Anolis sagrei: one gene and its partners. The protein of the gene in region 2 purifies or fractionates together with the protein of the main gene of each other region. This does not show direct contact. Links are inferred from orthologs where the notes say so. Each region holds a gene or a part of one and is shown on either strand. Other genes may lie near its edges.

The links.
Region 1: the proteins of PIP4K2A (region 2) and AHCYL1 purify together in Homo sapiens (co-immunoprecipitation; 3 studies listed by BioGRID and IntAct, counting the BioPlex papers as one, with this or other methods). This does not show direct contact. The link is inferred for Anolis sagrei from reciprocal best matches to the Homo sapiens genes PIP4K2A and AHCYL1.
Region 3: the proteins of PIP4K2A (region 2) and UBE2H purify together in Homo sapiens (affinity purification with mass spectrometry; 3 studies listed by BioGRID and IntAct, with this or other methods). This does not show direct contact. The link is inferred for Anolis sagrei from reciprocal best matches to the Homo sapiens genes PIP4K2A and UBE2H.

What each region holds. Positions count from the first base shown.
Region 1 is NC_090024.1:183,979,727-183,990,798, forward strand, and holds the start of AHCYL1 (S-adenosylhomocysteine hydrolase-like protein 1), read right to left. Parts: upstream 4,147-11,072; 5' UTR 4,010-4,146; coding exon 3,899-4,009; intron 1-3,898. UniProt on the Homo sapiens protein: Multifaceted cellular regulator which coordinates several essential cellular functions including regulation of epithelial HCO3(-) and fluid secretion, mRNA processing and DNA replication.
Region 2 is NC_090026.1:108,313,474-108,323,569, reverse strand, and holds the start of PIP4K2A (phosphatidylinositol 5-phosphate 4-kinase type-2 alpha), read left to right. Parts: upstream 1-5,906; 5' UTR 5,907-6,125; coding exon 6,126-6,266; intron 6,267-10,096. UniProt on the Homo sapiens protein: Catalyzes the phosphorylation of phosphatidylinositol 5-phosphate (PtdIns5P) on the fourth hydroxyl of the myo-inositol ring, to form phosphatidylinositol 4,5-bisphosphate (PtdIns(4,5)P2). Has both ATP- and GTP-dependent kinase activities.
Region 3 is NC_090025.1:195,014,943-195,025,603, reverse strand, and holds the start of UBE2H (ubiquitin-conjugating enzyme E2 H), read left to right. Parts: upstream 1-6,432; 5' UTR 6,433-6,783; coding exon 6,784-6,836; intron 6,837-10,661. UniProt on the Homo sapiens protein: Accepts ubiquitin from the E1 complex and catalyzes its covalent attachment to other proteins. E2 ubiquitin conjugating enzyme that transfers ubiquitin to MAEA, a core component of the CTLH E3 ubiquitin-protein ligase complex.

The DNA of each region.
Region 1 (11,072 bases), on a different chromosome or scaffold from region 2:
TGTAACATATAAAAACCACAGATAAACATTTTGGGGATCTGGCATATGTAAGAACATGCATTCTAATTGCATCTTAGGTTAAGTAACTTAAGTACAGCCCACCTCTAGCTGTTTGAGCAGCCTATCTTTTCAAATCTCAATTTTCTTATTTTAAGAAAAGCATAAAATATTTCAAACATCAATTTTAATATAGCTAATATTTCAAAAGCAGACTAAGTCTCAAGCACCTGCATAATGCAGAATATACACCTACGATCAACCTGTACATTTAAAAAACTGTTTTTTTGAAATTAGAACAGTGTCCACAGTAAAACCAGTTGTGGAAGTCTCTATCCCTCTGGAGATTTTTTTTTTGGGGGGGGGGATGACAGACAAGTCTTGCTGATGTCAATTTACATGAGTAAGGCAACATGGGTAATACTGAAAATAAAGAATCTACCCAAGTATATAAAAAACTGGGATGCATATGAATACAAGGGAGGGTATTCAAAAGTTGATTAAACTTTATTCCAGTTGCATTTTAACTGATAAAGACTGATAAAGATGGCTGGTGAGGCTACTTCCATAAGTATATTTTCCATGATTTGGAAAAATTATCTGTTGGAAGTGTTTATGTTGTTGTTGCTTGATTTGTATGAGAATTACACTGGCTAGAGTAAAATACTTTGGTTACATATTCAAGGTGAAATTCACTTTTCTTTTGTTTTCTTTTTTTTACAAAATGAATGTTATAGGTCTGCCTGGGTACATTGTAGAAGTAGTTCCAGTCCATATAAGTTTACTAGATAAATAATGCAGAAAGGGCTCAGAATTCCTCAGTCCCCAGAAGATGTCTGATCTCCTGAGAGAGCAACAAAAGCTTTCAAATGTGACTTCAAAAAATATAAACTGTTTAAACTAATTCAGTTCGGCATCAATTCAATTCAAGAGGAAAACGTAATTACCGCAAGAAAACGTCCAATAGGTCTCAGTTTTTGATCTGCACACTACAGAACCTGAATTTAAATTTGAACCCAGACAAGATAAACCTGAAAAGAACGCCATGCTTTGTGCTGAAGGAGGTCCTATGATAAATCTAAATGGAGAATTTTGACTGCATCTATCTGGCTAGAAGTCAGAATTCTTGAGTTCAGATTCACTAACAACAATTATTACAACTATGGGGCCTCACAAAGGTAATTTTGGGGAAAGCAAACCAGGCAGAACTCAAAGAAACAATTGTTTATTAATTTATGTTAAATAGAACTGGAAGAATCTAGAGAATAATAATAATAATATTTTATTTATACCCCGCCACCATCTCCCCAAGGGACTCGGTGCGGCTTACATGAGGCCAAGCCCAAAGTACATCAGTAAACAGAAGCAATAACAAAAACAATAAATACAAAACAATTAATATAAATCACATAAACAAAAAAATAAACAATAAACAATAACAGTAACACACAAGCATTTTAAAAAAAATCTATGGCTTGGCCAAATGTGATAATTAAAATTTAAAAAATAATGCTGGGCATGACCAAGGTAGGATATAACTGGGATAAAAATTTTTCAAAGAGAGATGAGGGAACGCAGTCAGTCCTAAATCCATAGTAAAGTGCATTTGAGGGCATATTGCTGAGAGTTTTCCTTATTCTGGGAAAGCACACTGGAACAACCACGTTTTCAGGCTCCTCCTAAAGACTGCCAGAGTTGGGCCATGTCTGATGTCCTTGGGAAGTGAGTTCCAGAGTCGGGGGGCCACCACCGAGAAGACCCTTTCCCGAGAAGACCTTGGATTAAGGATACCAGCTAGAGCAGATTTAAGAATAAGTTCTTCATAGCACAGATCCCTTTTAGGCTGTTAGCAGGTGCAGCCTTCACACAAGTCAAGCAAGGGACTTTGTAGACTTATTCAGAAGTGAAATCAATCGTCTACTGATAGAGAAGCACATCCAGGTCTCTGCAATAGACGCAAGACACTTACTGCTACGGAATAACCTGCAACCCACTTTTATAGCTTGCATAATGGCCCTTAGAGGCTCACATGCCACAGCACAAATACCCACATTCCTGAGAACAGGCAGAGCACCAACGGGAAGGGGAAGGACCTCCTTCTGCAGAGCAGTCTGAAAGCAAACCTGGTTTCCGGATCACCTGTGCCCACTGGCCTCGACATTCTTCCTAGCCTGTGGCATGAATCAAGGGAAATCGTCATAACCCAGGACAGCTACAAGGCTTGGATCACATCTAGCCAGGCCTCTTTACAGACATCTAGGCGGAAATACCTTCCACAGAGAGGAACAGGGATAATGATCTTAAGAGTCAGTTAAGCTTCGGGCAGCAAGGAACCGTTCACCTGACACACCAGGAAAGTGTGTCTTAACACTGACTCCCTTTGAGCTGTAACACCTCTCTTGGGATGCATCTACACTTCAGAAGAAATTTAGTTTGACACCACTTTAACTACGATGGCTAAATGCTTGTAGTTTTACAAGATATTTAGCCTTCTCTACCAAATGTTTCTAGTGCCTTCCCAAACTACAACTCGCAGGACTCCATAGTACTAAGCTGTGGTCGTTAAAGGAATGCCCAACTGCATTTATTCTATAGTGTAGATGCTTTCAGCCAAAACACCTGACAGACAGCACCACATTTATCTGTAAACTTAATGCAGTCTAACACAATTTTAACTGCCTGGTGGCGCAATGGATTAAACCCCTGTGCTGGCAGGACTGCTGACCGAAAGGTCTGCGTTTCGAATCCAAGGAGTGGGGTGAGCTCCTGTCTGTCAGCTCCAGCTTCTTGTGAGAATATGAGAGAAGCTTCCCACAGGATGGTAAAATGTCTCAGCGTCCCCATTTTAACTGCCCTGGAGAGGAACCCCCGGTGGAGCAATGGATTAAACCCCTGTGCCGGCAGGACTGCTGACCGAAAGGTCAGCGGTTCAGATCCAAGGAGCGGGGCGAGCTCCTGTCTATCAGCTCCAGCTTCTCATGTGGGGACATGAAAGATGCCTCCCACAGGATGGTAAAACATCCCAGCATCCCCTCGGCAACATCCTTGCACACAGCCAATTCTTTCACACCAGAAGCGACTTGCAGTTTCGCAAGTTGCTCCTGGCACGAAAAAAAAACTGCCCTGGAATTCTGGGAGTTGTAGTTTGGTGAGGAAGATAAGGTTGAAAGGAGACAGGATAACCATGTTCAAATATTTGAAAGAAAGAGGAGCAATAGATTCAAATGACAGGAATGGAGATTCCAGCTGAACATTAGGAAGAACTTCCTGAGTGTAAGACAGGCATGAGCCTACCGGCTGTTAGGAATTGTGGGAGTTGAAGTCCAAAACACCCGGAGGGCCAAAGTTTGCTCACACTTGCTGTAAGAGCTGTTCAGCAGTGGAACTCTCTGTCTCAGAGTGAGGTTGGATGGCTTTTGAAATGTGGCTGGACGAGAGAGGAACTCTGTACATGCTCAGAGTGTACAAGGCGCCCTCATCTTCTTGGGCACCTTGGTGAGTATGGACATGAAAGGATACTTCTTTGCTGCATGACCATCTGTCGGGGTTGCTTTGATTGTGCTTCTCCCACACGGCAGGGGGTTGGCTTGTGGCCATTGTGGTCTCTTAGGATTCCCTAAAGAACTTGTAAAACTACATCTCCCATGATTCCATAGCAGTTCAAGTGGCGTCAAGCCCGCATTATTTCCTTCTACAGGGCAGAAATCTCTTTCTCCTCCGCCTCCTCTATCTATCTATCTATCTATCTATCTATCTATTCCCCGAGTGCTGACCAAGGCAAGTGCTCCCCTGAGCGCGTGCAGAGTTCCTCTGCCCCGAAGGGGTTCCTTGGCCCCTCCAGAGGGCGCGACTTTGAGGCCTGAGGTGATCCCGGCCCTCCCTCCCTCCCTCGCTCGCTCACCTTCTTGGGCGCCTTGGTGAGCGTGGACATGAAGGAGTACTTCTCCGCGTCCTCCATCTCCTTGGCTTGCTTCAGCTCGTCCCCGGAGGCCGCGTCCGGCGCCGAAGACATCCTGAAGGGGAAAGGGCCCGAGAGAGGGATCCTACGCCTCAGGTGCCTCTCCTCCTCCTCCTCCTCCTCCTCCTCCGTCAGCAACCACTCAGCCTGCAACCACCGCTGCCGCGCTCCGGCAAGGGGCGGGGCCAAGCGGGGCGCGCGCGTCACCACGCACGCCTCGGGGCCCCGCCCCCTTTCCCCCTCGCGCCGACCAAGCCGGGCCCTCCCGACGTCGCACGCAAAGCTCTGTCGCGCAGCATCTTGGATGAGAGCACCTCAGCGCCATCTGGCGGCTGGTTGCAGAAGTGACGCAATGGAAGGAGCCGAGGATGAAAAAAGGACACAGCCTGCTCAACCACATTTTGTGAGGACCGGCGGCAAAGAGCCTGAGCTCCTGGAGCCAATTCCATATGAATTCATGGCATAATGTGAATAAACAAAATAGAATCATAGAATCAAAGAGTTGGAAGAGACCTCATGGGCCATCCAGTCCAACCCCCTGCCAAGAAGCAGGAATATTGCATTCAAATCACCCCTGACAGATGGCCGTCCAGCCTCTGTTTAAAAGCTTCCAAAGAAGGAGCCTCCACCACACTCCGGGGCAGAGAGTACCACTGCTGAACGGCTCTCACAGTCAGGAAGTTCTTCCTCATGTTCAGATGGAACCTCCTTTCTTGTAGTTTGAAGTCATTGTTCCGCGTCCTAGTCTCCAGGGAAGCAAGCTTCCCAAACAAGCTTGCTCCCTCCTCCCTGTGGCTTCCTCTCACATATTTTATACATGGCTATCATATCTCCTCTCAGCCTTCTCTTCTTCAGGCTAAACATGCCCAGCTCCTTAAGCCGCTCCTCATAGGGCTTGTTCTCCAGGCCCTTGATCATTTTAGTTGTCCTCCTCTGGACACATTCCAGCTTGTCAATATCTCTCTTGAATTGTGGTGCCCAGAATTGGACACAATATTCCAGGTGTGGTCTAACCAAAGCAGAATAGAGGGGTAGCATGACTTCCCTAGATCTAGACACTATGCTCCTATTGATGTAGGCCAAAATCCCATTGGCTTTTTTTGCCGCCACATCACATTGTTGGCTCATGTTTAACTTGTTGTCCACGAGGACTCCAAGATCTTTTTCGAGCCAAATAAATTCCTTTCTAGAGAAAGAAAAAGGACCTGGCTTTGACCCACAAAGAAAATCCAACAAATGCTACGTTCAGCAAAGGACACTTCTGCAGGAGTCTACCGTATACCTTTATTTATTTATTTATTTTATTTACTGTATTTGTATATCGCCTTTCTCAGCCAATTGCCGTCTCAAGGCGGTTTCCAACAAATCAGTATACATAAAACACATGATATAAAAAACATTGAACAGTATAAGACATCACAAAAGCAATAAAAGCAACATCGTCAGCGTCTCATTATTCTCAAGCATTGTCCAATTCCATTGTCAGGTCATTCGATTTCCTATATTAGTTACTCTGTATTTGTAAACGCTTGCTCGAATAGCCACGTTTTAACTTGCTTCCGAAACGTCAAGAGGGAGGGAGCAGATCAGATTTCCCTAGGGAGTGTGTTCCATAGCCGAGGGGCCACTACTGAGAAGGCCCTGTCTCTTGTCCCCGCCCAACGTGCTTTGTCCACATGCAGCTGTGGACAAGTCTACATCGGGAACACCAAAAGCAGCATCACCCAAACAAGAATCAAGGAACATGAAAGGCACTGCAGACTACGTCAGCCAGAGAAATCAGCCATAGCAGAGCACCTGATGAACCAACCTGGACACAGCATTTTATTTGAGAACACAAAAATGCTGGACCACTCTCACAACCACCATGTCAGACTACACAGAGAAGCCATTGAAGTCCACAAGCATGTGGACAATTTCAACAGAAAGGAAGAAACCATGAAAATGAACAAAATCTGGCTACCAGTATTAAAGGACTCAAAAATCACAACAGCAAAACAACAGAGGGGAAACAAACAGGCACATAAAATCACTCTCAGCAAGGGATTCCCCCCGGGCACTTCTAAGCCATTGAATGCTAATCAAGGTGATCAGCTGAAACATTCACATCTAGCCCCAGCAAACAAAAGTCCTTTGTCTCACCCTGGTCATTCCACAGATATGTAAACCCATTTTCCTAGTTCCAACAGACCTCACTACCTCTCAGGATGCTTGCCATAGATGCAGGCGAAAAGTCAGGAGAGGATGCTTCTAGAACATGGCCATATAGCCCAAAAAAACCTACAACAACCCAGACATGGCTTTGGATTATAAATTGTAAAATTATTCCATTAATTAATTTTATTTATTTACGAAATTTATATGCCACCCTTCTCACCTTGAAAGGGACTCCAAGTGGCTTACAAGTAATATGTAAATAATAATAATAAACTTATTATTATTATTTACATATTACTTGTAATATGTAATAATAATTATCTTAGACAGACTACAAGCAGAGGCATAACACCATTGCTCAGATGATTCACTGGAACCTGTGCCACAAATACCATCTGCCTGCGACAAAGAACTGGTAGGATCACAAGCAGGAAAAAGTTACAGAAAATTAACACATCAAACTCCTCTGGGACTTCCGAATTGAGATAGAGTTTTGAGAAAGAGTGAATACTGTAAAAACACAATCCAGAGCAGAAGAGAAAACTGGCAAAAGAAGGCTCTCCATGGACAGTTCCTGGGAAAAAGTGAGAGCCAAACTGACAAAGAAAAAACATGGCTGTGGCTCACAAATGGAACTTTGAAAAAGAAGATGGAGGGTCTGATTCTGGCAGCCCAAGAACAAGCCATTCGAACCAATGCCATCAAAGCCAGAATTGAAAAGTCGACAACAGATCCCAAATGTAGACTCTGCAAGGAAGCAGATGAAACAATAGATCACATCCTCACCGTTGCTCAGATGATTCATTGGAACTTGTGCCACAAATACCATATGCCTGCAACAAAGAACTAGTGGGATCACAAGCCGGAAAAAGTTACAGAGAATGAACACGCCAAACTCCTCTGGGACTTCCGGGTTCAGACAGACAGAGTTTTGGAGCATAATACTCCTGACCTTTACAATTGTGTTAAAAAAACAAAGTATGGATTGTCGATGTTGCAATCCCAGTTGACAGCAGGATTGAAGAGAAACAACTGGAAAAGCTGACACGATGCGAGGATTTAAAGATCAAACTGCAAAGACTGGCATAAGCCAGTCAAAGTGGTTCCAGTGGTGATCGGCACACTGGGTGCAGTGCCTAAAGACCCTGGCCTGCACTTAAACACAATAAGTGCTGACAAAATTACCACCTGCCAGCTGCAGAAGGCCACCTTACTGGGATGTGCACACATTATTCACCAATACATCACACAGTCCTAGACACTTGGGAAGTGTCCGAGGTGTGATCCAATACAACAGCCAGCAGAGTGACCTTGTCTGCTTTGGACTCATCTTGTTGTGTTTTAAATAATAATAATAAACTTTATTTATACCCACCACCATCTCCCCAAAGGGGACTCGGGGCAGCTCACATGAGGCCAAACCCAAAAATACAATACAGCAAAATAAAATACAAAACAACAAAAAATTACATCATGATAAAATACATAATGTAAAAAGATAAAATAAGCAATGCAAAGTAACATAATGGAAAGTCAAACACAATGAGCAGGCCAAATACACAAGATAAAATGATAAAACTCTGGATGAGATAGGAGTGGGGGGAAAGTGTATTTGTGAGGGAGGAGCCCAAAAAGACAATCAATGGGGGGCTCTGACTTATTACCATAGCACAATATTAGTATATTATATCACTACAGTGTTCCCTCGCTACTTTGCAGTTCACTTTTCGCAGTCTTGCTGTTTTGCGGGTTTTTGCCTTTTGGCAATGATGGAATGTGGAAGGGGGTTTAACCCCCCCCCCCCCCTCGGGAGAAAGGCAGCCAATCATAAAGAGAGAGAGGAGATACAAAGCAGTATGTAAATCACGGCCTTATAGCTGCTTCAACTTGGTGAGATTCATTCTGGAGTTTTGGCTTATTTTCTCACCAGGCTAAACTCACAGTGGCTTGGATCTCACTATCCATAGCCATTCTCAATTGCTCGATAACATCTTGACACCAGCCAATCCCTCTGCAATGCCAGAAATACAACTTAACAGAGAGTGGACTGGGAGAGGTGTCCTTCTCTGTGCCAGGCCAGACCAAATGAATTTGTGGGCCTTATATGTCCCATGAGGTGGATTTTCCCCATTCCTGCATTATGCTCTGCTGAGAAATTCATGCCAAAATTGCCAAGGGCAGAAAAAACTCAAATTCAAATGCCTGAAAGGCAAAGGCAAAGTAGTTAGAACCCTATTATCCACTGGGATGGAAGGAGAGGCAGCAAGGAGGGAAAGGCCTAGTTCAAAAAAGCAATTTGCCTGCCACTTCCTGCCTTGATACCAATTCAACCATTCACTTTCATCCCTGTGCTGAACCTGCAACCACAACAAGCCAGGCAAAAAAGTATTCACACAAATCATGGCCACGGATCCTGTGGGGTAATGCATTTTGGAAAACTGAAATCTCCTTACCCTTTTGGAGATTTTATGATCTTTGGAAAGGCATGACCTTGTTAGAAGTCATAACCATTTGAATAATGATGCCATAATCTTTTGGGAAAATGGCATTCATGCAAGGCAATTAGGTTTCTCAGCTGTTAAACTGATATCCTAAACATCTCTTTGAACGGTTAGGGACAAAGATATGCCAATGCACAAAACATATATGTATATAGCAGAGTTTCAGAAGTGGTTTTTTTTTTTTTTGTAGTTGCCCAGAAACATCTATTCTTCCTTAAATATATATTTGCCTTTAAATCATACTACCAAGAGACAAAATAAGCAGACTTCTTTAAAAGTAACATAGTAGACTCCAGCAATACATGTAGCAAGAGTTGCCAGATGTACAAGTTGGGTTTGGAAAAGGCAGAGGAACGAGAGACCATGCTCTCAAGAGACAAAATATGCACACTTCTTTAAAAGTAACATAGTTGGTTTACTCACAAACTTCATGTATTCAGCAAATTTTGCTTATCAATCCAGTTACAAATAGGATTTGAAGTAGTTTGTGTAGGTAACACAGGCCTAATTCTTAGAATCAACAGTCTATCATCTAAAGCATCTCTCTGTCTAGTCTGAAAGTCCAATGGAGTCTGAAAGCATGCATCTGTTCCTACTGAAGTTTCCAAGCATACTGTTCTAAAATGGAGTCTGAGCCCTGAACAAGCCCAGATCTGCTCACTTGGTCTGCAGCCCTTCCCACAACAAAGAGTTAAAGTAAAATTGCATACCAATACACACATATACAATATAGTAAGCAATCTAAATTATTTACATAACAAATAACTAGTGGAGACTTGAAGAAGGTTGCTATTTCCAACAATGCAACAGTCCCCCTGATCGAGCCTTGAAAAGGGGAGCAGATGAGAACAGCCAGGACTTATAATATCTGTGGCCTAGCCCTCCCAGTGTGAACTGCCTCAGCCATTTAACCCTTGTAAAATGTTGCCCAAGGGGGCCATCAAATGTGCTCTTTCACCCAGAGAAGCCATAGCCTAGTGGACTTGGGTACAAATTATTTTGCTTTGATTGCTGTTGTAATCCTGCATCTTGAATTTGGCACATATCTAATGTTCATATCACTAATGCCTGTGGTCTTTTTGTGTGTTGCAATTTTCTCAATCTTTATCTGATAAAGTTAAAGGCACCAGATCTGAACCAGTATTTGATAAGTATTTGGTTGGGAGACGAAGGGCCAGAGCAAATAGTCTCAGGGGTTGCATGCAGATTGGACGTTTCCTGCCCATCAGTTAAGGATATACAGCCCTGACCCAAGATGTTTTGCTACCTGAAGAAAATCAGCAAATGCAGCCTTCCAAGGCCACAAATCAAGAGCCATAGTTCCTGAAGGTAGCCAAGTTATTTTGGCACAAAGAGGCAGGAAATCCCACAGGCTCCACTCCCTCTTGCTGACAGTAAAAATTCAATCAAAATAAATGAGATGAACCAAGAATTTGCTGTCCATTTCTAACAGCCCAAACATTCCCGCATTATGTTATTGCAAGTAGTAAGCTCATCTAAATAAGATTAAAAATAGTTTTGTGGCTTTTGGATTTATATAGCAACATGCTTAAACTGTGAATTGTTTACACATTATTGAAGGCATAATATCCATGAGCTTGGAAAAATATAAAGCAGTTTGACCTTTTCATTTGAACACCCTTCATTCTGATTGCAAATATTTATATTGAACGGATCCTCTGTAGTAAGTGTTTGTGTGGGTGTGTGAACCAACAAAGCGAGGAAGGGGAAGTTAATTCCACACAGAGGGATAAGCTACATCATTTTTAATTTTAGATTAAATCTGGCAGTGTCAAAGGAAGGGCACACAGTGAATTCTGTGCCAGAACTGGGTGTAGTTGCAGGCCGCTCCAAGAACAGTAGACACTGATACATATTGCTGCTATAATATATGCTTAATGGCAATCAATGATGCAGTGACTCCCAACCTTTGGTCCTCCAGGGACTTCAGTTCCCATAATCCCTAATAGCTGCTAAACTGGCTGGGAATTGAAGTCCAAAACACCTGGAGGACCAAAGCCTGAGAACCACTGCACTAGATCGTATCCTGCAGAGCAAAATTTCAAGCTTTTTGCTGATGGGGTCTTGTATTCCCTCAAGATCAGTGGTTCCAACCTGTGGTCCATGGACCACCAATGGTCCGCAAGAACAAAATTATGGTCTGCGGCCTCATCATTATTACACTGTTGCCTCGAAACCATGCAACAATGAGGACAGCTGGTCTCGCTAAACACACTTATAGTGCTGAGGCAATGGACATGTCAGGAGGGGAGAGGCTGACTACCCACGAAAGATTACTACTACCACATCAGCTCTAGATTATTAAATATGGTTTTCTGTGGGCAAGCAGACGGCATTTACTGGATGGTATACATTCTGTATCAGAAACTAGAGCTAATGTGGTCTGTCCAAAGCAATTTTCTGAATCAGCACCTCAAATAACCAAACTGAATCTAAAG
Region 2 (10,096 bases):
ACACTCACAAAACGGCAAAAGAACAAAACTCAAAAAAACCCCAACGAACCTTAACCAAAATTCCCATGCCCATAACACAACCCACAAGGTACAAACATATCTACTCAAAATGAAAAACAACACAACACACTCACAAAACGGCAAAACAACTGAGCATGCGCATTGGCGCCCAGCCGCAAGTTCCATCGCGCGCGCACATGGCCTTCCGGCCAACGTTCCCTCTGCGGAAACCATGCCCACTCCAAGCCCCGCCGCGCCGCTTCCCGCACACACACACCCCCTGCCGCACACACACACGCAACCCCACGCTCCATCACTCCCCCCGCCGCCGCACACACACACGCAACCCCACGCTCCATCACTCCCCCCCGCCGCCGCACACACACGCAACCCCACTCCCCCTGCCGCCGCACACACACACGCAACCCCAGGCTCCATCACTCCCCCCGCCGCCGCACACACACACGCAACCCCAAGCTCCATCACTCCCCCCACCGCCGCACACACACATGCAACCCCAGGCTCCATCACTCCCCCCGCCGCCGCACACACACACACAACCCCACGCTCCATCACTCCCCTGCCCCAATCTTACCTCCTTTTACTTCAGGCCACCTCCAAACCCCACCCCGCCCCTTCCCGCCCTGTCAAAATCTAGGAAAGACAGGAAGGAAGGAAAGAAGGAAGAAAGAGAAAGGGAGGTGAAGAAAAAGGGGGAAGGAAGGAAAGTTAGAGGAAGAAGAAAAGGAAAGAAAAGGAAAGATGGAAGGAAAGAAAAGAGAGACAGCAGAAGAGAAAGAAAAAGGGGGAAGGAAGGAAAGAGATAGAGAAAGAAGAGGAGAAGGAAAGATGGGAAGGAAGGAAGGAAGGAGGGAGGGAGGGAGGGAGGGAGGGAAAGAAGGAGAGAAAGAGGGAAGATTGGCCACAGCAACACATGGCGGGTAAAGGTTGTTATTTCTATTATTGTTATTATGCTATTGTTCCTATGAGACCCTTTTAGGGGGAATGGGAGAGGTGTCAGGTCCCGGAGGCAATGCATTGCATTATTGTTATTGTTATGATGGTGGTGAAATAAAAGGAAATAAAAAGTGAAAGAAGGAAGCAAACAGGGAGGGAAGAAAGGCAAAGGAAGAAAGGGGGAGGGAATGAAGGAAAGAGAGAAGGATGAAACCAAGTAGTGAAAGAAGGAAAGAAAGAAAGAGGTAGAGAAGGAAGAAAGGAGAGAAAGGGTGAGGAAAAGGGGGAAGGAATAGGTAGGGACCTCTCTTTCATAATAGTCCAGATATCTACCTCAACTTTGATAAGTTTTACTATAGGCCACAGCAACGCGTGGCAGGGCACAGCTAGTAATTCTATAACAACCAACATGGATGACTGGGTGAGTGATGTAAGTCATCTAACAACCACCCATAGTGTACTTCCTCTTAGACATACCATGGCATCTCTAATTTCATAACTGAACTGGAAGGAAAGTATCTGGAGGAGGAATGCACACATTGAACTCAAAGTAAATCCCATTCAGTTCAATGGGACTGGCTTCTCAGTTGGCTAGGATTGCACTTTTAAGTGTCACTCTCTGAAGCAAAGTCTGAACTCCATCATAAGCAGCGCAAACAGCCGTGGGACAAAAGACATTATAGAATTGCCCGTTGCATTGACTCGGCAATTTCTTCAGCAGCAAAAATGTACTTCCTCTGCAGTTTGCAATCCCTGACAGCTGACCTATTACTGGCTTGCAGAGGAAGTGTTGGCAGCAACTTCAACTGCAAATGTAGGAAGGGATGGGGTGGGGGCGGGGCGGGGGGAAACCACACAAGAAGTATGCACAGGCAAAATACCAGCAGCAGCAGTAGCATCCAACGTTGTACTTTTATTTGCTGCAGATGTAAAGCCCTTCTTAGTTTCAAAGAAACTGGAAGCGTCTGAAGTCTTCTGGAGGAGAACATTCTTGGATTTTAACCCAAAGCTGCTTTTTAAAAATCTTGCTTCTGCCAGTCTTACTTCTGAGTAAACCTTCAAAATGACATGCTCAAAGCTTCTGCTCATTTTCAAAGAACTGAGTCTCTATCAGATGATATCAAGATTTTCACCCTCTGTGTATATGTGCCTTCAACTGCCTGTCAATTTATGGCAACCCCATGAATTTCATAAGGTTTTCTGTTGGTCACTATAAAGTGTTCTGGATTAAAGATATAGTAGAATCTCTCTTATCCAACATAAACGGGCCAGCAGAACATTGGATAAGTGAAAATGTTGGATAATAAGGAGGGATTAAGGAAAAGCCTATTAAATATCAAATTGTGCAATGATTTTAAAAATTAAGAACCAAAACATCATGTTTTACAACAAATTGACAGAAAAAGCAGTTCAATACATGGTAACATTATGTAGTAATTACTGTATTTAGGACATTAGCACCAAAACAGACAAGGGTTCTTTCTTTCTGCGACTCTGGACATTATTCCACAGGTAAATATACACTCCACTTCCCGCACCTGTGGATCCAAGCAGGAGGCAGACACTTTTGGATAATACAGAATGTTGGATAAGTGAAGGTTGGATAAGCAAGACTCTACTGTAGCTGCAGTGCATAGCACCCATATTTTCTGATTTGTAAGGGCCATAAGGAAGGCTGAGCAAAGGAAGGTTGACACTTTTGAACTGTGGTGTTGGAGGAAAATTCTGAGAGTGCCTTGGACCACAAGAAGATCAAACCAGTCCATACTCCAGGAAACTCCCTCACTGAAGGGAAGGATATTAGAGGCAAAGTTTGACCACATAATGAGAAGACAGGAAAGCTTGGAAAAATTAATGATGCTGGAGAAAATTGAAGGACAAAGGAAGAAGGTCCAACCAAGGGCAAGGTGGTTGTTATCCTTGAAGTGACTGGCTTGGCCTTGAAGGAGCTGGGGGTGGCCACCTCCGACAGGGAGCTTTGGCGTGGACTGGTCCATGAGGTCACGAAGAGTTGTAAATGACTGAACGAATAAACAACAAAAAGAGCTTATAAAAATGTCCAGTTTTTCCAAAGATAGGTAGTGCTTTACAAAAAGAAATTCTTAACTATACCTTGTTCCAAAGATAACCATTGATTTCAATTGTGCTTTCTGCCTAGTTAGGATATGCAGCCCTAACATCTTACTAATATAAAAGAATTCATCAACAACAAATAATAAGAACTACAGCCATGGCCTGGAATATATTAGGTGTGGGAGGAACATCTTTGATGAGCGATATAAAGGCTCCTTAAGATGAAAATGTTTTTTCTGGCAGGAGCCCCAAACCGAGATGTTGACGTGCCTGTTTCAGTACAAAGAGCAAGAAAACTGGAGCTAGCATCAGACGCCAAGACACATCTGAGCTGGGAACATGGGAGCTGATTCAAAACGTAGGTCAGCGTACTGATGAACCCAAAACAGGAGATCTCTATGACGGAAATGGAAAGGGAAGTAAGGAGATGCAACAAGAAGAATGTATAAGCATTATCTATTTCATCTGCGGTAATCAAATGAGACAAGGTAAGTGCATGCAGCAATGATGATGATGAAACATTCAAAAGCAACAGAGTTATCTGCATGCACTTTTTGGGTACTGTGGAGCACTTTTATGAGTCATTAACACACCGAGTCATTAACACGCTGATTCTGGATTATAATTCCTCAAATCTCACAATTTATTTGGTTGTTGGCCAAGGGCATTTGGAGAGTTTCAGTTTATAAAGAGACCACACAAGGACTTCAGGAGTTCAAATCTCCTTGCCCATGGAAACCTATTGGGTGATTTTGGGCAAGCCACACTCTCTCAACCTCAGAAGAAGGCAGTGACAAATTTCCTCTGAGCAAACTCACCCACCCACCCCCAAAAACACACAATAAGTTTGCCATAGGGTCGCCATTAGTTTTTCATGTCAGGAGTCACTTAAGAAACTGCCCAGGGGACGCTCGGATGTTTTTGATGTTTTACCCATCCTTGTGAGAGGCTTCTCTCGTGTCCCCATATGGAAGTGTTTCTCAACCTGGGGGTCGGGACCCCGGGGGGGGGGTCGCAAGGGGGTGTCAGAGGGGTCACCAAAAAACATCAGAAAACACAGTATTTTCTGTTGGTCATGGGGGTTCTGTTTGGGAAATTTGACCCAAATCTATCGTTTGTGGGATTCAGAATTCCCTTTGATTGCAGGTAAACTATAAATCCCAGCAACTACAACTCCCAAATGTCAAGGTCTATTTTCTCTAAATAGTGTTCACATTTGGGTATATTGAATATTTGTGCCAAGTTTGGTTCAGATCCATCATTGTTTGATTCCACAGTGTTCTTTGGATATAGGTGAACTACAATTCCAAAACTCAAGGTCAATGCCCATCAAGCTCTTGTAGTATTTTATGTTAGTCATGGAAGTTCTGTGTGCCAAGATTGGTTCAATTCCATCATTGGTGGAGTACAAAATGCTCTTTGATTGTAGGTTAACTATAAATCCCAGCAACTACAACTCCCAAATGACAAAAATCAACTCCCCCCCCCCCCCGAAGTCCACCAGTATTCAAATTGGGGTGTATCGGGTATTTGTGTCAAATTTGGTCCAGTGAATGAGAATACACCTTGCATATCAGGAATTTACGTTACAATTCACAATATTCGCAAAATTACAGTTAGAAAGTAGCAATGAAAATAATTTTATGATTGGGGGCCACCACAACAAGAGGAACTGTATTAAGGGGTCATGGCATTAGGAAGGTTGGGAGCCCCTGGTGGCGCAGTGGGTTAAACTCCTGTGCTGGCAGGACTGAAGACCGACAGGTCGCAGGGTCGAATCCAGGGAGAGGCGGATGAGCTCCCTCTATCAGCTCCAGCTCCTCATGCGGGGACATGAGAGAAGCCTCCCCCAAGGATGATAAAAACATCAAATCATCCAGGCGTCCCCTGGGCAACGTCCTTGCAGACGGCCAATTCTCTCACACCAGGAGTCACTCCTGACACGACTAAAAAAAAATTAGGAAGGTTGAGAACCACTGCCGTATGGGGAGCTGGAGCTGACAGAAGGAGCTCATCCGAGCGGCTTAAGGAGCTGGGCATGTTTAGCCTGAAGAAGAGAAGGCTGAGAGGGGATATGATAGCCATGTATAAATATGTGAGAGGAAGCCACAGGGAGGAGGGAGTAAGCTTGTTTTCTGCTTCCCTGGAGACTAGGACACTATGGAACAATGGCTTCAAACTACAGGAAAGAAGATTCCATCTGAACACGAGGAAGAACTTCCTGACTGTGAGAGCCGTTCAGCAGTGGAACTCTCTGCCCCGGAGTGTGGTGGAGGCTCCTTCTTTGGAAGCTTTTAAACAGAGGCTGGATGGCCATCTGTCAGGGGTGATTTGAATGCAATATTCCTGCTCCTTGGCAGAAGGGGGTTGGACTGGATGGCCCATGAGGTCTCTTCCAACTCTTTGATTCTATGATTCATCCACGCTCCCCCCGGGATTCGAACCTGTGACCTGTCGGTCTTCAGTCCTGCAGGCACAAGAGTTTGACCCACTGCGCCAAGAGGGGGTCTATGGTGAGAGGGAAGAGCCGGCACATTCTTTTTGTCACGCATGCTCAGAGCGAGCACGGGAAGAGACTTCAAATCCCCTTAGTGCGCATGCTCAGAGCGAGGACGGGAGGAGACTTCAAATCCCCTTAGTGCGCATGCTCGTAGCGAGCTAGAGCCCGTCTGTGAAAATAAGAGTGTAGGGTAGTTAGTGGAAGAAACTGCACACTCCTGTTGCGCATGCGTTAAAAGGGAAGAGGGACTTAGCGCGCATGCTCACACAAAACGAAGTGTTCCTGCTCAGAGGGCGGGGAGGGAGGGTGGGTGAGTGAGTGGGCGGGGCGAAGGGAGGGAGGGAGGAGAGGGGGCGTGGCCTGTGCGGGGAGGAGGCGGAGGCGGCGCGCGGGGCCATATTCGGCGCGCGGCGGCGCAGGCGGCCAGGCCAGGATGCGCTTGGCATTGTCCTGCAGTGGCAGAAGCAGCAGCAATCGCTGCGGCACCCACACCGCCGCTGCCCTCTTGCCGCAATAGCGCCTGCCCTTCCCCTCCTTCCTTCAATCCTTCCTTCCCCTTCCGCCTTGGCTTCCTCCTCCTCCTGCTGCTCTCACCATGGCGGCCCCCAGCAACATCGTGTCCGTCATGGCGAGCAAGACCAAGACCAAGAAGAAGCACTTCGTGGCCCAGAAAGTCAAGCTCTTCCGGGCCAGCGACCCGCTCCTCAGCGTCCTCATGTGGGGGGTGAACCACTCGGTAAGACGGGGAAGGAAGGAAGGAGGGAGGGAGGGTTGCTGAAGGAAGAGGGACCTCTCTCTCTCATGACAGATCTGTGTCTTGGGAGGATTCTTGAAGGGCGAGTCAGCACAGAGGTGGTTTAACGTGGTTGAGCCTTGACAGGATGAGTGGGATCAATGTCATGGAGTTGGAAGAGGCCCCAGAGGGCATACAGCCCACCCAACCCTGATCTGCCACCAAAACATTCCCGACAGATGGCCATCCCGCCTCTACTTTAAAGCATCTACACCAGGCCTGGGCAAACTTTGTCCCTCCAGGTGTTTGGACTTCCACAATCCCTAATTCATTTCAATTTACCCACTTTTGTTGGAAGAGACTACCAGAGGTCATCCAGCCCACTCTACCCTATTCTACCACGAAAACACTCTCAACAGATGGCCATCCAGCCTCTGTTTCAAAGCCTCTACACCAGGCTTGCGCAAACTTTAGCTGTTTTGGATTTCCACCATTCCTAATTCACATCAATTTACCCACTTCTGTTGGAAGGGACCCCCAGAGGTCATCCAGCCCACCCAACCCTGATCTCCCACCAAAATGCTCCTGACAGATGGCCATCCAGCCCCTGCTTCAAAACCTCTACACCAGGCTTGGGCAAACTTCAGGTGTTTTGGATTTCCACCATTCCTAGTTCACTTCAATTTACCCACTTCTGTTGGAAGGGACCCCCAAAAGTCATCCAGCCCACCCAACCCTGATCTCCCACCAAAACGCTCCTGACAGATGGCCATTCAGCCCCTGCTTCAAAACCTCTACACCAGGCCTAGGCAAACTTCATCTCTCCAGGTGTTTCGGACTTCCACAATTCCTAATTCACCTCAATTTACCCACTTCTGTTGGAAGAGACCCCCAGAGGCCATCCAGCCCACTCTACCACCAAAACACTCCCACCAAAACACTCCCTCTGCTTCAAAGCCTCTACACCAGTCCTGGGCAAACTTCATTTCGCCAGGTGTTTCTGGACTTCTACCATTCCTAATTCATTTCAATTTACTCACTTTTGTTGGAAGGGATCCCCAGAGGTCATCCAGCCCACCCAACCCTGATCTCCCACCAAAACGCTCCTGACAGATGGCCATCCAGCCCCTGCTTCAAAACCTCTACACCAGGCCTGGGCAAACTTCATCTCTCCAGGTGTTTGGAATTTCCACCATTCCTAATTCACTTCAATTTACCCACTTCTGTTGGAACAGACCCCCAGAGGCCATCCAGCCCACTCTACCCCATTCTATCTCCAAAACACTCCCGACAGATGGCCATCCAGCCTGTACTTAAAAGCCTCTACACCAGGACTTCCACCATTCCTAATTTTACTTCAATTTACCCACTTCTGCCAGTTCTCTTCATACCTCTGCAGGCTCGTCCTTATCTGAAATACTTGGGATTAGAAGCATTTTCGATTATTGTTGCTATTGTTGCATTTGTTTATACATACTCTACTTTTCTTGCTTTGTTTTCATAAAAGAGATTCACAAAGGCCATCCAGATCCAATCCCTTGATATTTGAGCCCTACAGTAGGCTGTTAGGAATTATGGGAGTTGAAGTCCAAAACACCTGGAGGGCCAAAGTTTGCCCATGCCCATTATAAGTTTTTTTAAATTTTGGAATGCCCCCCCCCCATTGGCATATATGGACAACATCTTGGAGATAACAACAAAAACAACAGTAATAGTAATACTTTATTTATGTCCTTTTCTTCCGGCCCAGACCCTTTAAATAGTTCTTTAATAGGCCCTGGACATTAGTGGCCCTTGGCCCCCCAGTATGACCATTGCTGAGACCCGCTCCTGCACTGTAGCATTCTGTCGGCCCCATGCCTCCCTTTTCTCTGCCCTAGTTTCAGCCTAGCCCAGTGGTTCTCAACCTGGGGTCCCCATAGCCTGACCAATAGCTTAAGCCTTTTATCTGAATTTTGGCCCCTAGTAGCTTACCTTGCACGAAAGAAAAGAGCAGAATTGATTTTTAAATTGGTTTTAATATATATGTTGTGTTAATAGTTTATGCTTATGTTCTATGTTTCACATTGTATGTGTTTAGTATTTTGCATATGTGGAAACCGTTCTGAGTCCCCTAGGGGAGATAGGGCAGTATATAAATAAAGATTATTATTATTATTATTATTATTATTATTATTATTATTGTTATTGGTACCTCTGCAGGCCCATCACAGGTTGAATGTTTGTTATTTGAAATTTATTATTTTATTTATTTGCTATATTTATAAACCACTTTTCTCCCCCTTAAGGGAACTCAAAGCAGTTTCGAACATTATAAAAGCAAAATTCAATGCTGTACGTACATGTGAAAACCAAAAGATAATCGCAAGACCATAACATACAACTACAAATTAACCGTACCAAATTAAAATGTAAACATAAAATAATATTTAGACATAAAACATAAAAAATTAAACATTGGTAATACAATAACATTTATATTAAAAACCTACCGATAAAAAACACTATTTTAAAAACTGTTCGGCTGTTAGGAATTATGAGAGTTGAAGTCCAAAACACCTGGAGGGCCAAAGTTTGCCCATATCTGTATTAGAGGGGTTTTTTTTTATTTAGGAATCTCCCATTGGCATATATGGACAATATCTTGGAGATAATAATAATTATTATTTATAACCTGTCCCCTCTCTCTAAAGGGACTCAGAGATAGGATCCAACCAAGCCCAGAAACAAAATTAATTTTATGTTTCATACGCACCTTGTACACATAGCTTGAACGTAATTTAATACTTTTATGCATGAAATAAAGTTTGTGTATATTGAAAGCAAAGGTGTCACTACCTCATTCACCCCCTGTGGATGATTTCGGATTTTGAAGGGATGCTCAACCTGTACAAGCTTGGACAAGAGGCTTGGCACTCCCACCCGGGTGTGCACACACTGCTTTCCCCTCTTCCTCCCCAACACACGCCTTCTGTCTCATGTGTGCTTTCTTTTCTATAGAGTTCTGGCTGATTATTGGGCAGCGGGGGGTAGGTTCAGACATAAAAGTCTGAACAGAGGCTGGATGGCCATCTGTCGGGGGGTGCTTTGAATGTGATTTTCCTGCTCTTTGGCAGGAGGTTGGACTGGATGGCCCGCGAGGTCTCTTCCATCTCTGATTCTATAAGTTCCCCATCAAGGCACTGGTTAGTGTTGATGGATAAGAAAAGGGTGCAAATTATGAGTGTTTTGGTGTGGGATACATGTGCCCTTGGATACATAACTTCAGAGGTGATCATAGCAGAAGAAGGTGAGAAGTATTCTTTCTCTCTTATGTTCCCCTTTCTTTCATGTTGGGTTCTGTGAGTGCATTTTTCCTTTAGCGTTTAATGTTAGGAACTTGGTGATTGTTGAGTCTTGGTTATTAGCAATGATGACTAAATGGAGATGAATTTTCCTTAAATGCCAGACACAGACTATACACAACAGAGAAAGACTTTGCCAGTAGCATCTGACTGAAGGTATTTCACAGTGCTAGATGTGATAAACCTTAGTCGTATTATATAGCAAGCGCTTATCTTTACATCCTATTGTTTGGTACTTCTCTCTCCGAGACAGTGGGGCTGAGTAACTACAACAAATGCCATTCTTAATAGGATGTCTGGGATGTAGTTGACAGTGGGCAATACTAGATTAATGGAGGGAGCTGAGCATTTTACCCCAGAACTAATGGCTTTGCTGCTGTTCAGGCTGGATGCATTTTGCTGAGCAGTGGTTTAAAAAAAAACCGCAGGCTGCAGAGCAGCTAGAATGTCTTTATACTCACAGGGAAACCCCATCTTTCCCACCACCCT
Region 3 (10,661 bases), on a different chromosome or scaffold from region 2:
CCCCCTGCCAAGAAGCAGGAATATTGCATTCAAATCACCCCTGACAGATGGCCATCCAGCCTCTGCTTAAAAGCTTCCAAAGAAGGAGCCTCCACCACACTCCGGGGCAAAGAGTTCCACTGCTGAACGGCTCTCACAGTCAGGAAGTTCTTCCTAATGTTCAGATGGAATCTCCTCTCTTGTAGTTTGAAGCCATTGTTCCTTGTCCTAGTCTCCAAGGAAGCAGAAAACAAGCTTGCTCCCTCCTCCCTGTGGCTTCCTCTCACATATTTATACATGGCTATCATATCTCCTCTCAGCCTTCTCTTCTTCAGGCTAAACATGCCCAGTTCCCTAAGCCGCTCCTCATAGGGCTTGTTCTCCAGACCCTTGATCATTTTAGTCGCCCTCCTCTGGACTTAACTGACTAACAATAACTCCAAAACCCCTACCTTCCCCCTTTCTTTCTTACTTGACTTTTACACCTTTCTCCCTCATAAGTATGTGTGGGGGAAAAAAGGGAAATGTCATGTCATGTCATATATATCTATGTTCGTTTGTGAGATTAACATAACTCAAAAACCACTGGAGGAATTGACACCAAATTTGGACACAAAACACCTCTCAGGCCAACAAGTGACCATCACTCATAAAAACACTGAAAAACAGCAGAAGAAACTTAAAAACCCCCAAAATAAAAAATACTTTACAACACATGTGCAAAACCACGTATATATATATATACACAAACACACATATACGCAAATATATACACAAATAAAACACATATACACAGACTGGGCCACAGCAACGTGTGGCAGGAGACAGCTATATATATATGTGTGTGTGTGTGAGATAGTGACTAGATCAAGGGAAGTTATAATCCCACTCTCTTCTGCTTTGGTCACCTGGAATCACATAATGTCCAGTTCTGGGCAAAACAATTCAAGGGAGAGATGGACAAAATGGAAAATGCCCAAAGAAGTGCCACCACAATGGTCAAAGGTGTGGAAACTATGCATCTACTAGCTTAAGTTCCCAGTGATGTCCAGGTTAGGTCTTTTAGAATAATAATAATAATAATAATAATAATAATAATAAAAAATAATAATAATAACAACAATAATAATACACAACATGACACGATACGAGGATTTAAAGATTGAACTGCAAAGACTCTGGCACAAGCGAGTAAAGGTGGTACCATCTGCGAGCTGCAGAAGGCCACCTTACTGGCATCTGCTCGCATTATCCGCCGATACATCACACAGCCCTAGACACTTGGAAAGGGTCCAATGTGTGATCCAATTCAATAGCCAGCAGAGTCTCTGTTGTGGACTCATCTTGTTGTGTTTCAAATATCAACAACAATGATATGAGGATTTAAAGATCGAACTGCCAAGACTCTGGCACAAACCAGTCACGGTGGTCCCAGTGGTGATCGGCACACTGGGTGCAGTGCCTAAAGACCTTGGCCTGCACTTAAACACAATTGGTGCTGATAAGATTACCATCTATCAGCTGCCGAAGGCCACCTTACTGGGATCTGCGCACATCATTCGCCGATCCATCACACAGTCCTAGACACTTGGGAAGGGTCCAACCTGTGATCCAATACAACAGCCAGCAGAGTGTCTGGACTCATCTTGTTGTGTTTCAGCTAATAATAATAATAATAATAATAAAGTTTCCTTTGAAGGGGGAAAGCAGGATATAATAATAATAATTATAGTATGATTTAAAGTCTCATTTTACCCGAGGGAATATTATTATTATTGTGGTTGTTGTTGTTATTATTAGTACAGAATCATAGAATCATAGAATCAACGAGTTGGAAGAGACCTCATGGGCCATCCAGTCCAACCCCATTCTGCCAAGAAGCAGGAATATTGCATTCAAATCACCCCTGACAGATGGCCATCCAGCCTCTGCTTAAAAGCTTCCAAAGAAGGAGCCTCCACCACACTCCGGGGCAGAGAGTTCCACTGCTGAACGGCTCTCACAGTCAGGAAGTTCTTCCTAATGTTCAGATGGAATCTCCTCTCTTGTAGTTTGAAGCCATTGTTCCGCGTCCTAGTCTCCAAGGAAGCAGAAAACAAGCTTGCTCCCTCCTCCCTGTGGCTTCCTCTCACATATTTATACATGGCTATCATATCTCCTCTCAGCCTTCTCTTCTTCAGGCTAAACATGCCCAGTTCCCTAAGCCGCTCCTCATAGGGCTTGTTCTCCAGACCCTTGATCATTTTAGTCACCCTCCTCTGGACACATTCCAGCTTGTCAATATCTCTCTTGAATTGTGGTCCCAGAATTGGACACAGTATTCCAGATGTGGTCTAACCAAAGCGGAATAGAGGGGTAGCATTACTTCCTTAGATCTAGACACTAGGCTCCTCTTGATGCAGGCCAAAATCCCACTGGCTTTTTTTGCTGCCACATCACATTGTTGGCTCATGTTTAACTTGTTGTCCACAAGGACTCCAAGATCTTTTTCACATGTACTGCTCTCGAGCCAGGCATCGTCCCCCATTCTGTATCTTTGCATTTCATTTTTCCTGCCAAAGTGGAGTATCTTGCATTTGTCACTGTTGAACTTCATTTTGTTAGTTTTGGCCCATCTCTCTAATCTGTAGTAATACAAATAACAGTCTCCTTTTGGGGGAGGAAAGTAGGATGATAATAATAGTAGTAGTAATGGTGTGTTGACACTGTAGAATGGATGCAGTATGAGACCCCTGTAACAGCTATGCCTTAATGCTATGGAACAGTGGGAGTTGTAGTTTTACAAGGTTTCTAGCCTCCGTCAAAGAGCGCCTGTGCCTCATCGAACTATATCTCCCAGAACTGCACAGCGTTGAGCCATGGCAGTTAAAGTGGTATCAAACTGCATTAATTCGACGGAGTGGATGCATTCTAAAATGAGGGGAAACACATGAAATAATGAGCTCTGTGGTCCTGATCCAAATCTTGCTCTTGCACCTCCAACACCTGCTTTAGTATTTCTAAAGGAGAAATACTAAAAGATGGTGTTTTTTCAGCCTTAAAGGCATCATACATATTTTTAAATGCATTTTCTCCAAACAACAACCCTGCAGAGTAGGTTACGTGGAGGGAAATACGTGGCCATGAGCGACATGGTTGCTGCTTTCCCTTACTTAAAAACGCCACTCTCCATTCTTTGCAAGGATTTGTGTTGTGATGCTTTTCATGATATTTGTATTGATTCCTTCTATACGCTGGTCTGGGTGCTTTTAAGGAAAGTGAAGCAGCAGCGACAACAACAACAGCAGCGGCAGAATATTGACCACAAAGTGTATTTGGACCCAAGCAGAACGTAATGATATATTGAATTTCAGCCCCGTGATTTAAACAAATGAGCAGGAGGTACCCCACGAAAGCTCCAAATCATGGAGTTAGAAGAGACTTCCAAAGGACATCCAGTCGCACCCCTTGTAGTGCAATACACAACCAAAACACTCCTGGCAGACAGCCATCAGCTTAGGAAAGAAACATCTTCCAAGCAGAGTGTAATCTGCCTTTTCAACAGTTTGGAACTAGGACCTTTTAAAGTGGTGGAGGTTTTTAAACAGAGGCTGGATGGACCTCTATTTGATATGTTTTGACTGTGTCTTCTTGCATGGCAGAAGGGGGTTGGACTAGATGGCTCCGAGAGTCTCTTCCGACTCTATGATTCTATATTTATGTTGTTGTTGTTGTTATGTGCCTTCGTTTCCCATGAACGGGAATCCTAAAATTGGTTCAAAAGACGTTTTGCCTTTCCCTTCTGAGGCTGAGAGAGTGTGACTCATTCAAGGTCACCAATTTGGTTTCCATTGTAGTAGAGTTGGGAGAGACCCCAAGGACCATCCAGTCCAACCAGGCAGGAAGACACAACCGAAGCCCTCCTGACTGATGCCCATCCAACCTCTGCTTATACAAACAACAATGGATCTGGACCAAACCTGTCACGCTTCCCCAACATATGCATCTTTGACAACCAGTGGGATTTGGAAGGAACAGACCTTGAATTTAGGGAGTTATAGTTCGTTTCCATCCAAAGGGTGCTGTGAACCCAAACGACGATGGATCTGGACCAGACTTGGCACACAGACCAACTTGGAATATGAGTGGGTTTGGAACAATGACAGGTGATGGTGGGAGTTGTAGTTTACTCATATTCTTATGCATTTACTAATGAGCCCATTCTTAAAAGTCAACAATTGATATTTTGTATGTTTATCATTATTATTATCATTATATCCTGCTTTCCTTCCTTAAAAGGGGACTCTTATTATTATTATTATTATTATTATTATTATTATTATTATTTCCTGCTTTCTTCCCCTAAAAGACTCTAAATATTATTATTTCCTGCTTCCCGCTTCAAATGAGACTCTTATTATTATTATTGTTGTTGTTACTATTATTGCAATTATTATTATGTGCTTTCTTCCCCTAAAAGAAGACTCTAGTCTAAATATTCTTCTTGGCACCACTTGAACTGCCAATGGCTCAAGGCTATAGGGGCCCTGCGAGTCGTAGTTCGACAAGGCCTTCTGTAGCAAACAGTGTAGAATTACAACTCCCAGGATGCCGTAGCCATGGGCCACTTTGACAAGCCTGTTCTCTTGCCACACAAAACTCTGGAAGCTGTAGTTCGCCAAGGGAACTTTCAGCCTTTTCTGTCAAATAATGGCTCCGTGCTCTTGGAGTGGTGGGAGTTGTAGTTCCTCCACGCCCTTTTAGCCTTCCCTGCAGAAATGGGTGCTGATCCCACACCAAACTACAACTCCCACCCTGCCACAAACACTTCAGCAAACTACAACTCCCAATCTGCCATGAACACTTAAGCAAACTACAGCTCTCATCTTTCCATGAACACCTCAACAAACTACAACTCTCATCCTTCCACAAATACCTCACCAAATTACACCTATCCTTCCATGAACAGTTCAGCAAGCTACAACTCCCATCCTTCTATGAATGCTTCAGCAACTACAACTCCCTTCCATGAGTACTTCAGCAAACTACAACTCCCATCCTTCCACAAATACCTCAGCAAACTACAACTCCCACCCATGAATTCTTCAGCAAACTACAACTCCCATCCTTCCATCAATTCATCATCAAACTACAACTCCCATCCCTCCATGAGTACTTCAGCAAACTACAACTCCCACCCTTCCACAAATACCTCATCAAACTACAACTCCTATCCTTCCATGAACTCTTCAGCAAACTACAACTCCCATCCTTCCACGAATACCTCAGCAAACTACAACTCCCATCCCTCCATGAGTGCTGCAGCAAACTACAACTCCCACCCTTCATTGAACACTTCAGCAAACTACAGCTCCCATCCTTCCATGCACACCTGAGCAAGCTACAACTCCCATCCTTCCATGAGTACAAACTACAACTCCCATCCTTCCATGTGTACTTTAGCAAACTACAACTCCTATAATTCCACAAATACCTCATCAAACTACAACTCCTACCCTTCCATAAACACTTCAGTAAACAAATCCCATCCTTCCACGAATACCTCGGCAAACCACAACTCTCACCCTTCAATGAATTCATCAAACTACAATTCCCATCCTTCCATGCACACCTGAGCAAGCTACAACTCCCATCCCTCCATGAGTACTTCAGTAAACTACAACTCCCATCTTTCCATGAGTACTTCAGCAAACTACAACTCCCATCCTTCCATGAATACCTCAGCAAACTACAACTCACATCCTTCCATGAGTACCTCAGCAAACTATAACTCCCAACCTTCCATGAGTACTTCAGCAAACTACAACTCCCATCCTTCCATGAGTACTTCAGCAAACTACAACTCCCATCCTTCCATGAATACCTCAGCAAACTACAACTCACATCATTCCACGAACGACTCAGCAAACTATAACTCCCATCCTTCCATGAGTACTCCCATAATTCCCTGAACACTTCTGTAAACTACAACTCCCATCCATACATGAGTTCTTCAGCAAACTATAACTCCCATCCTTCCATGAGTACCTCAGCAAGCTACAACTCACATCCTTCCATGAGTACCTCAGCAAACTACAACTCCCCTCCTTCCACGATCGACTCAGCAAACTATAACTCCCATCCTTCCATGAGTACTCCCATAATTCCACGAACACTTTAGCAAACTACAACTCCCATCCTTCCACGAACACCTCAGCAAACTACAACTCCCAAGGGGTCCCATGAGCAGGGGTGCCCAAAGTGGGTTAATTCTCCCCAGTGTAGACGGCCTCAGCTCCAGAGAGGCCTTGCCTTTGAGGGATGCTGGGAGTCGGAGTCCAAAACACAGGGAGGTGCTTTGAGGGAAAGGACTCCAACTCCCGTCGTGCCTCGGGGCGCGGGGACAGGGAGAGGGCGGGCTTGGCCGCAGTGACGTCGCCGCCGCCGTCCAATAAGAAGCCCGGCCTGGGCGGTGAGGTCACTGTGGGTGACGTCAGAGGAGAGAGAGAGAGAGAGGCAGCAGAAGAGCCTCGGCGGCGGGCGAAGCAGAAGCAGCCAGCAGAGAGCAGGAGCAGGAGCAGGAAAGCGGTGCGGAAGGGCGCAGGAAACAGACACACAACAAGAGGAGAACCAAAGAAATTAAGAGAGGGGAGGGGGTGCCAGGAAGAGCCGGCTCGGGAAGGGCGGGGCCTCGGAGGAAGGAGCAAAGGAGGCGGAGCCAAGGAGAGAGAGAGAGAGGATCCCACCGCGCAGGCGCAGGAAGCGGGGCTCCAGCGTTAAAGGGGTCCTGACAGGACAAGAGAGGCCGCCGGCCGGGGGGGCGCCATGTCCTCCCCCAGCCCTGGCAAGAGGCGGATGGACACCGACGTGGTCAAGCTGTATCCTTCGCCTGCGGGAAAACGAGGGGAACGGGGGAAGGAAGGGGGTGTTGTGGTTGTGGGAAACGGGGGGCACCCCAAAAGGCAGGGAAAGAGGGACGCTGGCCCTTTAAGAAGGCCAAGCAGGCAGGGAATTGAATTGGGGGATCCCTCTCAAGCTGGGGGTTGCTTACAGGGTCTTCCTCCTCAAGTGAAAGAAATTGAGAGATATTTTAGAAAGGATAGACCCCCCTCCCCCCCAAAAATAGAAAGACCCCTTCCCCATTGGAATGACTTGAGGAGTAAACAAAAAAAGGTTGCTGGCCCTTTAAGAAGGCCAAAGGGCCAAGGAATGGGGTATCCTCACAAGCTGGGGGTTGCTTACAGGGTCTTCCTCCTCAAGTCAAAGAAATTGAGAGATATTTTAGAAAGGATAGACCCCCCCTCCCCCCAAAAAATAGAAAGACCCCTTCCACATTGGAATGACTTGAGGAGTAAACAAAAAAAGGTTGCTGGCCCTTTAAGAAGGCCAAAGGGCCAAGGAATGGGGTATCCTCACAAGCTGGGGGTTGCTTACAGGGTCTTCCTCCTCAAGTCAAAGAAATTGAGAGATATTTTAGAAAGGATAGACCACCCCCCCCTTCCAAAAAGAGAGAGACACCCCTTCCCCATTGGAGTAAAAAAAGAGGATGCTGGCCCTTTAAGAAGGCCAAGGAGGCAGGGAATTGGGGGATCCCTCACAAGCTGGGGGTTGCTTACAGGGTCTTTCTCCTCAAGTCAAAGAAATTGAGAGATATTTTTAAAAGGATAGACCCCCCTCCCCCTAAAAAATAGAAAGACCCCTTCCCCATTGGAGTAAAAAAAGAGGATACTGGCCCTTTAAGAAGGCCAAGGAGGCAGGGAATTGGGGGGATCCCTCACAAGCTGGGGGTTGCTTACAGGGTCTTCCTCCTCAAGTCAAAGAAATTGAGAGATATTTTAGAAAGGATAGAGCCCCCCTCCCCAAAAAATAGAGACACCCCTTCCCAATTGGAGTAAAAAAAGAGGATACTGGCCCTTTAAGAAGGCCAAAGAGGCAGGGAATTGGGGGGGATCCCTCTCAAGCTGGGGGTTGCTTACAGGGTCCTTCTCACCAAGGCTTCCCTTTCAGAAAGGAATACAGATCCCCCCACAAAAAGAAAGACCCCTTCCCCATTGGAATAACTTGAGGAGTAAACAAAAAAAGGTTGCTGGCCCTTTAAGAAGGCCAAAGGGCCAAGGAATGGGGTATCCTCACAAGCTGGGGATTGCTTACAGGTCTTGCTCCTCAAGTCAAAGAAAATTAAGAGATATTTAAAAAAGGATAGACCACCCCCCCTCCAAAAAGAGAGAGAGACCCCTTCCCCATTGGAGTAAAAAAAGAGGATACTGGCCCTTTAAAAAGGTCAAGGAAAGCAAGGGTTGGTTACAGGGTCCTTCTCACCAAGGCTTCCCTTTGAGAAAGGAATACAGAGAGATTTGTAAAAGGACAGACCCCCCCTCCAAAAAAGAAAAAGAGAAAGACCCTTTCCCAATTGGAGTAAAAAAAGAGGATACTGGCCCTTTAAGAAGGCCAAGGAGCCAAGGAAAGGGAAGGCTTGTTTACACGGTCCTTCTCACCAAGTCTTCCCTTTGAGAAAGGAATTAGACAAACACCCCCCCCCCCCAAAAGAGAGAAAGACCCCTTCCCCATTGGTGTAAAAAAGAGGATATGGCCCTTTAAGAAGGCCAAGGAAAGGGAAGACTTGGTTACAGGGTCTTTCTCCTCAAGTCAAAGGAATTAGGGATATTTTAAAAAGGATAGACCCCCCTCCCCCCAAAAATAGAAAGACCCCTTCCCCATTGGAATAAAAAAAGAGGATACTGGCCCTTTAAGAAGGCCAGGGAATTGGGGGGATCCCTCACAAGCTGGGGGTTGCTTACAGGGTCCTTCTCACCAAGGCTTCCCTTTCAGAAAGGAATACAGATTCCCCCCCCCCCCCCCAAATAGAAAGACCCCTTCCCCATTGGAATGACTTGAGGAGTAAACAAAAAAAGGTTGCTGGCCCTTTAAGAAGGCCAAAGGGCCAAGGAATGGGGTATCCTCACAAGCTGGGGATTGCTTACAGGGTCTTGCTCCTTAAGTCAAAGAAATTAAGAGATATTTTAAAAAGGATAGACCCCCCTCCCTCCCCCCAATAGAAAGACCCCTTCCCCACTGGTGTAAAAGAGGATACTGGCTCTTTAAGAAGGCCAAGGAGGCAGGGAATTGGGGGATCCCTCACAAACTGGGGTTGCTTACAGGGTCTTTCTCCTCAAGTCAAAGAAATTGAGAGATATTTTTAAAAGGATAGACCCCCCCTCCCCCCAAAAATAGAAAGACCCCTTTCCCATTGGAGTAAAAAAAGGATACTGGCCCTTTAAGAAGGCCAAGAAAAGGGAAGGCTTGGTTACAGGGTCTTTCTCACCAAGTCTTCCCTTTGAGAAGGAAGATAGAAATATTTTTAAAAGGACAAACCTCCCCCCTCTAAAAATAAGAAAGATCCCTTCCCCATTGCAGTAAAAAAAGAGGATACTGCCCCTTTAAGAAGGCCAAGAAAAGGGAAGGCTTGCTTACAGGGTCCTTCTCTCCAAGTCTTCCCTTTGAGAAAGGAATACAGAGGGATTTGTAAAAGGACAGATCCCCCTCCTCAAAAGAAAGACCCCCTTCCCCATTGGTGTAAAAAAAGAGGATAGTGGCCCTTTAAGAAGACCTTTTCCCCATTGGAGTAAAAAAAGAGGATACTGGCCCTTTAAGAAGGCCAAGGGTCACAAGCTGAGGTTTGATTACAGGATCCTTCTCACAAAGTCTTCCCTTTCGGAAAGGAATACAGAGAGATTTGTAAAAGGACAGATCCCCCACTCCAAAAGAGAGAAAGACCCCTTCCCCATTGGTGTTAAAAAAGAGGATACTGGCCCTTTAAGAAGGCCAAGGAGCCAAGGAAAGGGAAGGCTTGTGTACAGGGTCCTTCTCTCCAAGTCTTCCCTTTGAGAGAGGAATACAGAGAGATTTGTAAAAGGACAGATCCCCCTCCTCAAAAGAAAGACCCCTTCTCCATTGGAGTAAAAAAGGAGGATACTGGCCCTTTAAGAAGACCCTTTCTCCATTGGAGTAAGAAAAGAGGATACTGGCCCTTTAAGAAGATCCCTTCCCCATTGGAGTAAAAAAAAAAGAAGAAGATACTGGCCCTTTAAGAAGTCAGGAAATGGGGCTGCTGAGCCTTTCAGAAAGTAAATTTAGAAAATTCCTCATTGAAATGACTTGAGGAGTAAAACAGAGAGTGCTGGCCCTTTAAGAAGGTAATTCTGAGTCAGGAAAGGCCAGGAAATGGGGGACACTGGCCCTTTAAGAAGGCCAAGGAAACAGGGAATTGAGGGATCCCTCACAAGCTGAGTCTTGATTACAGGGTCCTTCTCACCAAGGCTTCCCTTTCAGAAAGGAATACAGATCCCCCCTCAAAAAAAGAGAAAGACCCCTTCCCCATTGGAATGACTTGAGTAAAAAAAGAGGTTGCTGGCCCTTTAAGAAGGCCAAGGAGCCAAAAAATGGGGTATCCTCACAAGCTGAGGCTTGTTTACAGGGTCCTTCTCACCAAGTCTTCCTTTTAAGAGATTTGTAAGAGGATGGACCCCCCCCCCCCCCATAAAAGAGAAAGACCCCCTTCCCCATTTGAATGACTTGAGGAGTAAACAAAAAAAGGTTGCTGGCCCTTTAAGAAGGCCAAGGGGCCAAGGAATGGGGTATCCTCACAAGCTGAGGCTTGGTTACAGGGTCCTGCTCACCAAGGCTTCCCTTTCAAAAAGGAATAC